Saccharomyces cerevisiae S288C: one gene and its partner. Each later gene encodes a partner of the first gene's protein in a complex. Each region holds a gene or a part of one and is shown in the gene's direction. Other genes may lie near its edges.

Region 1 (7,515 bases):
GATTATGCCGTATTATGTGGTCTCAACGTGACCCATCATTGAGAAAGAAGGGTTCTGGTAACATCTTTATCAAGAACTTGCACCCTGATATTGACAACAAGGCTTTGTATGACACTTTCTCTGTGTTTGGTGACATCTTGTCCAGCAAGATTGCCACCGACGAAAACGGAAAATCCAAGGGTTTTGGGTTTGTTCACTTCGAAGAAGAAGGTGCTGCCAAGGAAGCTATTGATGCTTTGAATGGTATGCTGTTGAACGGTCAAGAAATTTATGTTGCTCCTCACTTGTCCAGAAAGGAACGTGACTCTCAATTGGAAGAGACTAAGGCACATTACACTAACCTTTATGTGAAAAACATCAACTCCGAAACTACTGACGAACAATTCCAAGAATTGTTTGCCAAATTTGGTCCAATTGTTTCTGCCTCTTTGGAAAAGGATGCTGATGGAAAATTGAAGGGTTTCGGGTTTGTTAACTACGAAAAGCATGAAGACGCTGTGAAAGCTGTTGAAGCTTTGAATGACTCTGAACTAAATGGAGAAAAGTTATACGTTGGTCGTGCCCAAAAGAAGAATGAACGTATGCATGTCTTGAAGAAGCAATACGAAGCTTACAGATTGGAAAAAATGGCCAAGTACCAAGGTGTTAATTTGTTTGTTAAGAACTTAGATGACAGCGTTGATGACGAAAAGTTGGAAGAAGAATTTGCTCCATATGGTACTATCACTTCTGCAAAGGTTATGAGAACCGAAAACGGTAAGTCTAAGGGTTTTGGTTTTGTTTGTTTCTCAACTCCAGAGGAAGCTACTAAGGCCATTACAGAAAAGAACCAACAAATTGTTGCTGGTAAGCCATTATACGTTGCCATTGCTCAAAGAAAAGACGTAAGACGTTCTCAATTGGCTCAACAAATCCAAGCCAGAAATCAAATGAGATACCAGCAAGCTACTGCTGCCGCTGCCGCCGCCGCTGCCGGTATGCCAGGTCAATTCATGCCTCCAATGTTCTATGGTGTTATGCCACCAAGAGGTGTTCCATTCAACGGTCCAAACCCACAACAAATGAACCCAATGGGCGGTATGCCAAAGAACGGCATGCCACCTCAATTTAGAAATGGTCCGGTTTACGGCGTCCCCCCACAAGGTGGTTTCCCAAGAAATGCCAACGATAACAACCAATTTTATCAACAAAAGCAAAGACAAGCTTTGGGTGAACAATTATACAAGAAGGTTTCTGCTAAGACTTCAAATGAAGAAGCAGCTGGTAAAATTACTGGTATGATTTTGGATTTGCCACCTCAAGAGGTCTTCCCATTGTTGGAAAGTGATGAATTGTTCGAACAACACTACAAAGAAGCTTCTGCTGCCTATGAGTCTTTCAAAAAGGAGCAAGAACAACAAACTGAGCAAGCTTAATGCTCTATGTAATCACCTACTTCCCTACTCAACAAACTTATCATCTTTTTTTTCTCCCTTCCCTTTTTTTTTTGTCTTAAATACTAGTTATTATCCTTTGTAACCTAAATACTCGCTCTTATTGACAAAATGCAAACGTTTTTTGTTTTTAACTGTCAAGAGAAGTATCATTTTACTATTATTAGACTTCATTACTGAGTTTATTAGTTGCGTTTTTTTGAGGTCTCATTATTAACGGCAGAATGTTAGTTTTCGCGGAAAATAAACAAAATAGCACGGAAAAAAGACCAACAGGTTCCAGGAAAATACTAATTTACAAAAAATTGACAAATCAAGTGAGGGTACCTTGCTATTCATCACCGCATTCAACTAACTGGAGGTACAAAGCTGATAAAATTTCACAGAGCAAAGTCTCACTTAGCTTTTACTTTATGAAATTTGACCTTTAATAACCGAAGGTCATCGTAATACGCAACTCAGACAGTTTTAAGTGGATTTTTAGGGTCGCAATTAAAAACACTCAAAAATTAACCGGAGGTTGAGCAAGGGAAAGCAACCGTAACAGAAATCCTTTATTTCCTCCTGGAAGTGAAATAAAAACGCAGTTAACTTTAAAAAGGAAAGTTAGTTGATAATTATGTCTGGAACTTTTCATGGCGATGGGCATGCTCCCATGTCGCCCTTTGAAGATACATTTCAATTTGAAGATAATAGCAGTAATGAAGATACACATATTGCACCTACCCATTTTGATGATGGTGCAACAAGCAACAAATACAGCCGGCCACAGGTCAGCTTCAATGATGAAACACCCAAAAATAAACGTGAAGATGCAGAAGAATTCACATTTAACGATGACACAGAATATGACAATCATTCCTTTCAGCCAACACCGAAACTTAATAATGGATCTGGGACGTTTGATGATGTGGAATTAGACAATGATAGTGGTGAACCGCACACTAACTACGATGGTATGAAAAGATTCCGGATGGGTACAAAAAGGAATAAAAAAGGAAACCCAATAATGGGAAGATCTAAGACCTTGAAATGGGCTAGGAAGAACATTCCAAACCCATTTGAAGACTTTACGAAGGATGATATTGACCCTGGTGCCATAAATCGTGCGCAAGAACTAAGGACTGTGTATTACAATATGCCCTTACCAAAAGATATGATAGATGAAGAAGGCAACCCCATTATGCAGTATCCTCGTAATAAAATCAGAACTACCAAATATACCCCGTTAACATTCTTACCAAAAAACATTCTATTTCAGTTTCATAATTTCGCCAACGTTTATTTCTTAGTTTTAATAATTTTAGGTGCATTTCAAATTTTTGGTGTCACGAACCCTGGTTTAAGTGCGGTTCCGTTAGTTGTCATTGTTATAATCACTGCGATCAAGGATGCTATTGAAGACTCAAGAAGAACCGTCCTAGATTTAGAGGTGAATAATACCAAGACACATATTTTAGAAGGTGTTGAGAACGAAAATGTCTCAACCGATAATATTTCATTGTGGAGAAGGTTTAAGAAAGCAAACTCTAGACTCCTTTTCAAGTTTATACAATATTGTAAAGAACATTTAACTGAAGAGGGCAAAAAGAAGAGAATGCAGAGAAAGCGTCATGAACTAAGAGTACAAAAAACTGTTGGAACGAGTGGACCCAGATCCTCTCTAGACTCCATTGACAGTTACAGAGTATCTGCAGATTATGGCCGTCCTTCATTGGATTATGATAATTTGGAACAAGGGGCCGGTGAAGCCAATATAGTTGATAGATCCCTACCACCCAGAACTGATTGTAAATTTGCCAAGAATTATTGGAAAGGTGTCAAGGTTGGTGATATTGTTCGTATCCATAACAATGATGAAATCCCTGCTGACATTATCTTACTTTCAACGTCGGATACAGATGGTGCCTGCTACGTAGAAACTAAAAATTTGGATGGTGAAACAAACTTAAAGGTACGCCAATCCTTGAAGTGTACCAATACTATAAGAACGTCAAAAGATATTGCTAGAACAAAATTCTGGATCGAAAGTGAAGGGCCCCACTCAAATTTGTACACTTATCAAGGTAATATGAAATGGAGAAATCTTGCAGATGGCGAGATACGAAATGAGCCAATTACTATTAATAACGTTCTGCTTCGTGGTTGCACTCTTAGAAATACTAAGTGGGCAATGGGTGTTGTAATGTTTACCGGTGGTGACACAAAAATCATGTTAAACTCTGGCATTACACCCACCAAGAAGTCCAGGATTTCAAGAGAACTAAACTTCTCTGTGGTGATAAATTTCGTGCTACTTTTCATCTTATGTTTTGTTTCTGGTATTGCAAATGGTGTATATTACGACAAAAAAGGCAGATCACGGTTTTCCTATGAATTTGGAACAATTGCTGGGTCAGCGGCGACAAACGGTTTCGTCTCATTTTGGGTTGCTGTTATTCTTTACCAATCTTTAGTCCCAATCTCTTTGTACATTTCTGTGGAGATCATCAAAACTGCACAAGCGGCCTTCATTTACGGAGACGTTTTACTCTACAATGCCAAATTGGATTATCCTTGTACACCAAAATCCTGGAATATTTCTGACGATTTAGGTCAAGTGGAATATATATTTTCTGATAAAACAGGTACATTAACTCAAAATGTAATGGAGTTTAAAAAATGTACTATCAATGGTGTTTCATATGGAAGAGCTTACACCGAAGCGTTAGCGGGATTAAGAAAAAGACAAGGTATCGACGTCGAAACCGAAGGTAGGCGTGAGAAGGCCGAAATTGCCAAGGATAGGGATACAATGATCGATGAACTGAGAGCTTTATCAGGAAATTCACAATTTTATCCCGAAGAAGTTACCTTTGTATCAAAGGAGTTCGTTCGCGATTTGAAAGGGGCTAGTGGTGAAGTACAACAAAGATGCTGTGAGCACTTTATGTTAGCATTAGCTTTATGTCACTCCGTCCTTGTAGAAGCAAACCCGGACAATCCAAAAAAACTGGATTTAAAAGCTCAATCTCCAGACGAAGCAGCGTTAGTAGCCACAGCTAGAGATGTAGGATTCAGTTTTGTTGGAAAAACCAAAAAAGGGTTGATAATTGAAATGCAAGGTATTCAAAAAGAATTTGAGATTCTAAATATTTTGGAGTTTAATTCATCGAGAAAAAGAATGTCCTGTATTGTCAAAATTCCGGGTCTGAACCCAGGGGACGAGCCTAGAGCACTTTTAATTTGTAAAGGTGCAGATTCCATTATATACTCAAGATTAAGTCGCCAGAGTGGTAGCAATAGTGAAGCTATTTTGGAAAAAACTGCTTTGCATTTAGAGCAGTACGCTACTGAAGGTTTAAGAACGTTATGCATAGCTCAAAGGGAGTTAAGTTGGTCTGAATACGAAAAATGGAACGAAAAGTACGATATTGCTGCTGCATCATTAGCAAACAGAGAGGATGAATTAGAAGTTGTTGCAGATTCCATTGAACGCGAATTGATATTATTGGGCGGTACAGCTATCGAAGATCGTTTACAAGATGGTGTTCCGGATTGTATAGAGTTGCTTGCAGAGGCAGGAATTAAATTATGGGTTCTTACGGGTGATAAAGTTGAAACAGCTATAAACATTGGATTTTCTTGCAACCTTTTGAATAATGAAATGGAATTGTTAGTTATTAAAACAACTGGTGATGACGTGAAAGAATTCGGATCAGAACCAAGTGAAATTGTGGATGCTTTACTCTCCAAATACTTGAAGGAGTATTTCAACTTAACCGGTTCAGAAGAAGAGATTTTTGAAGCTAAAAAGGATCACGAATTTCCGAAGGGTAATTACGCCATCGTTATCGATGGTGATGCTTTGAAATTGGCGCTATATGGTGAAGATATAAGAAGAAAGTTTCTTTTACTCTGCAAGAATTGTAGAGCTGTCTTATGCTGTAGAGTATCTCCATCTCAAAAAGCAGCCGTTGTTAAGTTAGTCAAGGATTCTCTAGATGTCATGACACTAGCCATCGGCGATGGTTCCAACGACGTCGCCATGATTCAATCTGCGGATGTTGGTATTGGTATTGCCGGTGAAGAAGGTCGACAAGCTGTTATGTGCTCAGACTACGCCATTGGACAATTCAGATATTTGGCTAGATTGGTCCTCGTTCACGGTAGGTGGTCTTATAAGAGACTGGCAGAAATGATTCCTGAGTTTTTTTACAAAAACATGATTTTTGCTTTGGCATTGTTCTGGTATGGTATCTATAATGATTTTGATGGGTCTTACCTGTATGAATACACATACATGATGTTCTATAATTTGGCATTTACATCCCTACCAGTCATCTTCTTAGGTATTCTGGACCAGGACGTGAATGACACAATATCATTAGTGGTCCCTCAGTTATACCGTGTTGGAATTTTAAGGAAAGAATGGAACCAAAGAAAGTTCTTATGGTATATGTTGGACGGATTATATCAGTCTATTATCTGTTTTTTTTTCCCTTACTTGGTTTATCACAAAAATATGATAGTTACGAGCAATGGGTTAGGATTGGATCATCGTTATTTTGTCGGTGTTTATGTGACCACTATTGCTGTAATTTCGTGTAACACATATGTTTTATTACACCAATATAGATGGGATTGGTTTAGTGGATTATTCATTGCACTGTCTTGCCTCGTAGTTTTTGCATGGACGGGAATATGGTCTTCTGCGATAGCTAGTAGAGAATTTTTCAAAGCTGCAGCGCGTATCTATGGAGCACCTTCATTTTGGGCTGTTTTCTTTGTTGCCGTGCTGTTCTGCTTACTGCCCCGTTTCACATATGACAGTTTTCAAAAATTTTTCTACCCAACTGATGTGGAAATAGTAAGAGAGATGTGGCAACATGGCCATTTCGATCATTATCCTCCTGGTTACGATCCAACAGATCCCAACAGACCCAAGGTCACAAAAGCTGGGCAACACGGAGAGAAGATTATAGAAGGCATAGCACTTTCCGACAACTTAGGAGGATCGAACTATTCAAGGGATAGTGTTGTCACAGAGGAGATTCCAATGACTTTCATGCACGGTGAAGATGGAAGTCCTAGCGGATATCAGAAGCAAGAAACCTGGATGACTTCACCCAAGGAAACACAAGATCTTCTTCAATCGCCCCAATTTCAGCAGGCCCAAACGTTCGGAAGAGGCCCATCAACCAACGTCAGGTCATCCTTGGACCGCACAAGAGAACAGATGATCGCCACTAACCAACTAGATAACCGCTACTCTGTGGAAAGAGCGAGAACATCTCTAGATCTACCAGGCGTAACTAACGCAGCCTCCTTAATCGGAACACAACAGAACAATTAATAATGATATCCGAACCATAGCTGATGGAACTCCGCTTTTCACTGTATATATAATATTACATAATATTACTGGATAAGCCTTAGAAGCCTTAGAAGCCTTAGAAGCCTTGGAATTCATGCATACTACAGCGTTAACTCTTTCTTTTAGCAAGTTTTAGTAGCGGACGTGTGGGTTTCTTTGTTCTATAATTAACACTCCCGGTTAACCCGGATCGCTATTATTCAAGGACGCACAATGGTGGGCTAATTTTTTCTTCCGATGGAAAACTGACGCCAGCACTTTCCAGCGCTGGGAACTCTCCACTAACTGGCAAAAAAATTGATTAAGGTCATGATCAAAGGAATTTTTGAAATGTTGTAAAGTAGAGTTAAGAATTAATCAAGCCGTGATACGTATGTTTTTGACTAGGTGAGAGACTATATTTATCAAAAATAGTTTTTTATACTAACAGAAAGTTTATTATATCATAGAAATCCTAGGCCTATTGTTATTATTTGCGTGAAAAAAGGTTCATGCCTAGTTATTCAGGATATTAATCAGGCATAGTCATAGTTTTGTAATACACGTCTTTCACTCCTATTTCCGGTTAACATTCGCTAATATCCATCAAATTATTGACTTTTTTTTCAGTGGATTTGTTGTTAATAAAGGAAACAATCAGATCAGCCATTTAGGGAAGTCTTTTAAGAAAGCTCAGAAGGAGATCTAAGACAAGAAGCAAGGCAGTCTTGATTTATCGCTCAAAAC
Region 2 (3,662 bases), on another chromosome or scaffold:
CTAAATCTTTCAGCAATAAATTTCAAGATATCATGGTGGGACCACAGTCTTTTGAGAAAATAAGATTGCTGGGCCAAGGTGATGTAGGTAAAGTTTTCTTAGTAAGAGAGAAAAAGACGAATAGAGTGTATGCTTTGAAAGTCTTGAGTAAAGACGAAATGATAAAAAGAAATAAAATCAAACGTGTTCTGACAGAACAAGAGATTCTTGCCACCAGCAATCATCCCTTCATCGTCACACTATACCATTCGTTCCAATCTGAAGACTATTTGTATCTCTGTATGGAATACTGTATGGGCGGGGAGTTTTTCAGAGCTTTACAAACAAGGAAAACCAAATGTATATGTGAAGACGATGCCAGGTTTTATGCCAGTGAAGTGACAGCAGCACTAGAATATTTACATCTGTTGGGTTTTATCTATAGAGATTTAAAACCAGAGAATATTTTGCTGCATCAATCAGGCCATATCATGCTTTCTGACTTCGACTTGTCTATTCAGGCTAAAGATTCCAAGGTTCCTGTTGTCAAGGGTTCCGCTCAATCAACCCTTGTTGATACCAAAATATGCTCAGATGGGTTTAGAACCAATTCCTTTGTCGGAACTGAAGAATATATTGCCCCTGAAGTCATAAGAGGTAATGGCCACACCGCTGCGGTCGATTGGTGGACGCTAGGGATTTTGATCTATGAAATGTTATTTGGTTTCACTCCATTCAAAGGCGATAACACAAATGAAACTTTTACGAATATTTTGAAAAATGAGGTCAGTTTTCCCAATAACAATGAAATCTCCAGAACTTGTAAGGATTTGATCAAAAAATTACTGACAAAAAATGAATCTAAAAGACTGGGTTGCAAAATGGGCGCTGCCGACGTGAAGAAACACCCCTTTTTCAAGAAAGTCCAATGGTCTTTGCTGAGAAATCAAGAACCGCCTCTGATACCAGTGTTATCTGAGGATGGATATGATTTTGCTAAATTATCATCTAATAAGAAGAGACAGACTAGTCAAGACAGCCATAAACATCTCGATGAGCAAGAGAAAAATATGTTTGAAGAACGAGTTGAATACGACGATGAAGTCTCTGAAGATGATCCATTCCATGACTTCAATTCAATGAGTTTGATGGAACAGGATAACAATTCAATGATTTATGGTAATACCAATTCTTATGGGAAAATTGCATACACTCCAAACTCCAACAGATCGAGGAGTAATAGTCATCGAACCTTTTTTAAGAGATAAAGGGGGCTTTGACGTATAAGTGTCGGTATTTTTTTTTTTTTTATTGATTTTTTTTTCACTCTTATTTTTTCCCTCATTTATTCATCATACATTTAACGAACTCTATTTCTTTTCAAAATCCTTATCTACCTATTTTTTTTTCTTTATTTTCTTTCCTCTGTCAGTTAGTCAGTAGTGTGTAACTTAAATAAATCATATATCGGTGTTTCAATTTCTAGCATTCTGTGTAAACATCAGATGAAGCATTGCCTTTCTTTTCAATGAACTCTATGTAGTTTTTTCGATTTGCTTGCGTACTATTTTTCACGCGATAGTTGAAGAAACGATAGAAGGATGGCGCAATATACAAGTTAAAAGCAAATAGATATCTAATCAATAGTTAACATCTAGAATAAAGTGCTGGAACTTAGATTTTTTTGTGCAATATGGGACTGATATTAAGGTGGAAAGAGAAAAAACAGTTGTCTAGTAAGCAAAATGCTCAAAAATCCAGGAAACCGGCAAACACATCGTTTAGACAACAGCGCCTCAAAGCCTGGCAGCCCATCTTGTCGCCACAGAGCGTACTGCCGTTGCTTATTTTGATGGCATGCGTCTTCGCACCCATTGGTATAGGGCTGGTGGTCAGCACGATAAGTGTCCAAAGACTAGTGGTAAACTACACAGAATGTGATGCATTGGCACCGGCGAAGCATTTTGAAACGATTCCCTCCGAGTACGTGGACTACCACTTCAGTAAGAAAGTCGCAGTCCAACCTCAATGGATGGTACTTACGGATCCTGAATTAGGCAATCAAACTTGTCGAATACAGTTCGAAGTTCCAAATCATATCAAGAAATCTACTTATGTTTATTACCGCCTAACAAATTTCAATCAAAACTATAGAGAATATGTGCAATCTCTTGACCTAGACCAATTAAAAGGAAAAGCATTGATCGGAAATGATCTGGATCCAAACTGTGACCCTTTAAGGACGGTAGAAAATAAGACCATATTCCCCTGTGGATTGATAGCAAATTCGATGTTCAATGATACATTCGGCACAACACTTACTGGTGTAAACGATACTGCAGATTATTTGCTTACCACAAAAGGTATTGCGTGGGACACCGACAGCCACAGATATGGAAAGACCGAATACAATGCATCCGATATCGTACCGCCCCCAAATTGGGCCAAGTTATTTCCCAATGGCTACACTGACGATAACATTCCAGACCTACAAAACTGGGAACAGTTCAAAATATGGATGAGAACTGCTGCATTGCCCAACTTCTATAAGCTAGCAATGAAAAATGAGACCAATGGGTTAGGTAAGGGTATTTACATTGCTGATATAGAACTCAACTACCCAGTAAGATCTTTCTATGGAACAAAATCTTTTGTATTAACCACAAACAGTATTATCGGTGCTGGAAACGAGGCATTAGGGATTGTTTATTTGATTGTTGCCGGGATTGCAACTCTTTTCGCCATACTATTCCTGATAAAAGTCATCTTCAAACCAAGACCTATGCATGATCATAGCTACCTAAATTTTGAGAACAGCGATACCCCATTCGATGAGAGTAGTGTCGTTAGTATTCCATTGAGAGAAATTTTATGATTGATTATCATTTACTATAAAATCCCTGCGTTTGATTCGGTCTCTAGGGAAGCGTTGTAATTTCATGTATATTCAAAATAAGGACGAGGTTATATACCATACTATATTATCTCCTTGCATTCTGTATCAAACACTTTATTCAGTACATATACGATACCTATATATTCATTAAATGTTCTTTTCGCTTTATTTCAGCAAGGTATAGTGCTATTTAAAATCCATAATCGTTATTGCGTCTCTTTAGTCTGTCCTTCATTGCCATTACTCCACTACTTGCGTCTGGTGGCGGCGTTGGCGTGCTGGAGGTGTTGAAACTGTTCGACGTTTTACTTCGACCGAGACTTGCCCTGAATTCTTGGCCTGCTGAAGGTCTAGTCGGCCGTGATGAAGCTCTTCTCGGTGTCGCGCTAGAGGAGCTTGTATGATTATTGTATATATCTTGAAACGATTTACTCGCAGGCGTGTACTCCGGTGTGTTCCCGTTTGAAGAAGGTGTACCCATAGGATCTTCTGAAGAAGCCTTCCTTCTGTTAGAAAAGGATGGCGAGAAATGACGCGAGTTTTGCTTCTTCATATCATGCTTCACTTGAGTATCTAATATTTTACGTTCGTTCGGTAAATCTTCCTTCTCCCCCAACCATCCTGGGAACCCCTGGAAAGGATGCTGATTTTCATAGAATTTCACAAGCCCTTTATGGACCAATGTAGTATTTACAGTATCACCATCTTTTTCTGCTTTAATGGATAAATGTGCCAACGATGTAGATAACGATTTGGTTGACGACTTAAACTTGTTCCAAAATCGCCC

The links.
Region 2: DNF1 (region 1) and YNR048W share a complex: the UniProt entries of both Saccharomyces cerevisiae proteins name them as parts of the flippase complex.

The regions. Positions count from the first base shown.
Region 1 is NC_001137.3:510,692-518,206, forward strand, and holds DNF1 (aminophospholipid-translocating P4-type ATPase DNF1), read left to right. Parts: upstream 1-2,052; coding exon 2,053-6,768; downstream 6,769-7,515. Other genes in the region: PAB1 (polyadenylate-binding protein), read left to right, coding at 1-1,415. UniProt on the Saccharomyces cerevisiae protein: Catalytic component of a P4-ATPase flippase complex which catalyzes the hydrolysis of ATP coupled to the transport of glucosylceramide, phosphatidylcholine, phosphatidylethanolamine, and small amounts of phosphatidylserine from the lumenal to the cytosolic leaflet of the cell membrane and ensures the maintenance of asymmetric distribution of phospholipids.
Region 2 is NC_001146.8:709,958-713,619, forward strand, and holds YNR048W (putative aminophospholipid translocase regulatory protein), read left to right. Parts: upstream 1-1,672; coding exon 1,673-2,854; downstream 2,855-3,662. Other genes in the region: serine/threonine protein kinase FPK1, read left to right, coding at 1-1,247; MSO1 (Mso1p), read right to left, coding at 3,066-3,662. UniProt on the Saccharomyces cerevisiae protein: Accessory component of a P4-ATPase flippase complex which catalyzes the hydrolysis of ATP coupled to the transport of phosphatidylcholine and small amounts of phosphatidylethanolamine from the lumen to the cytosolic leaflet of the trans-Golgi network and ensures the maintenance of asymmetric distribution of phospholipids.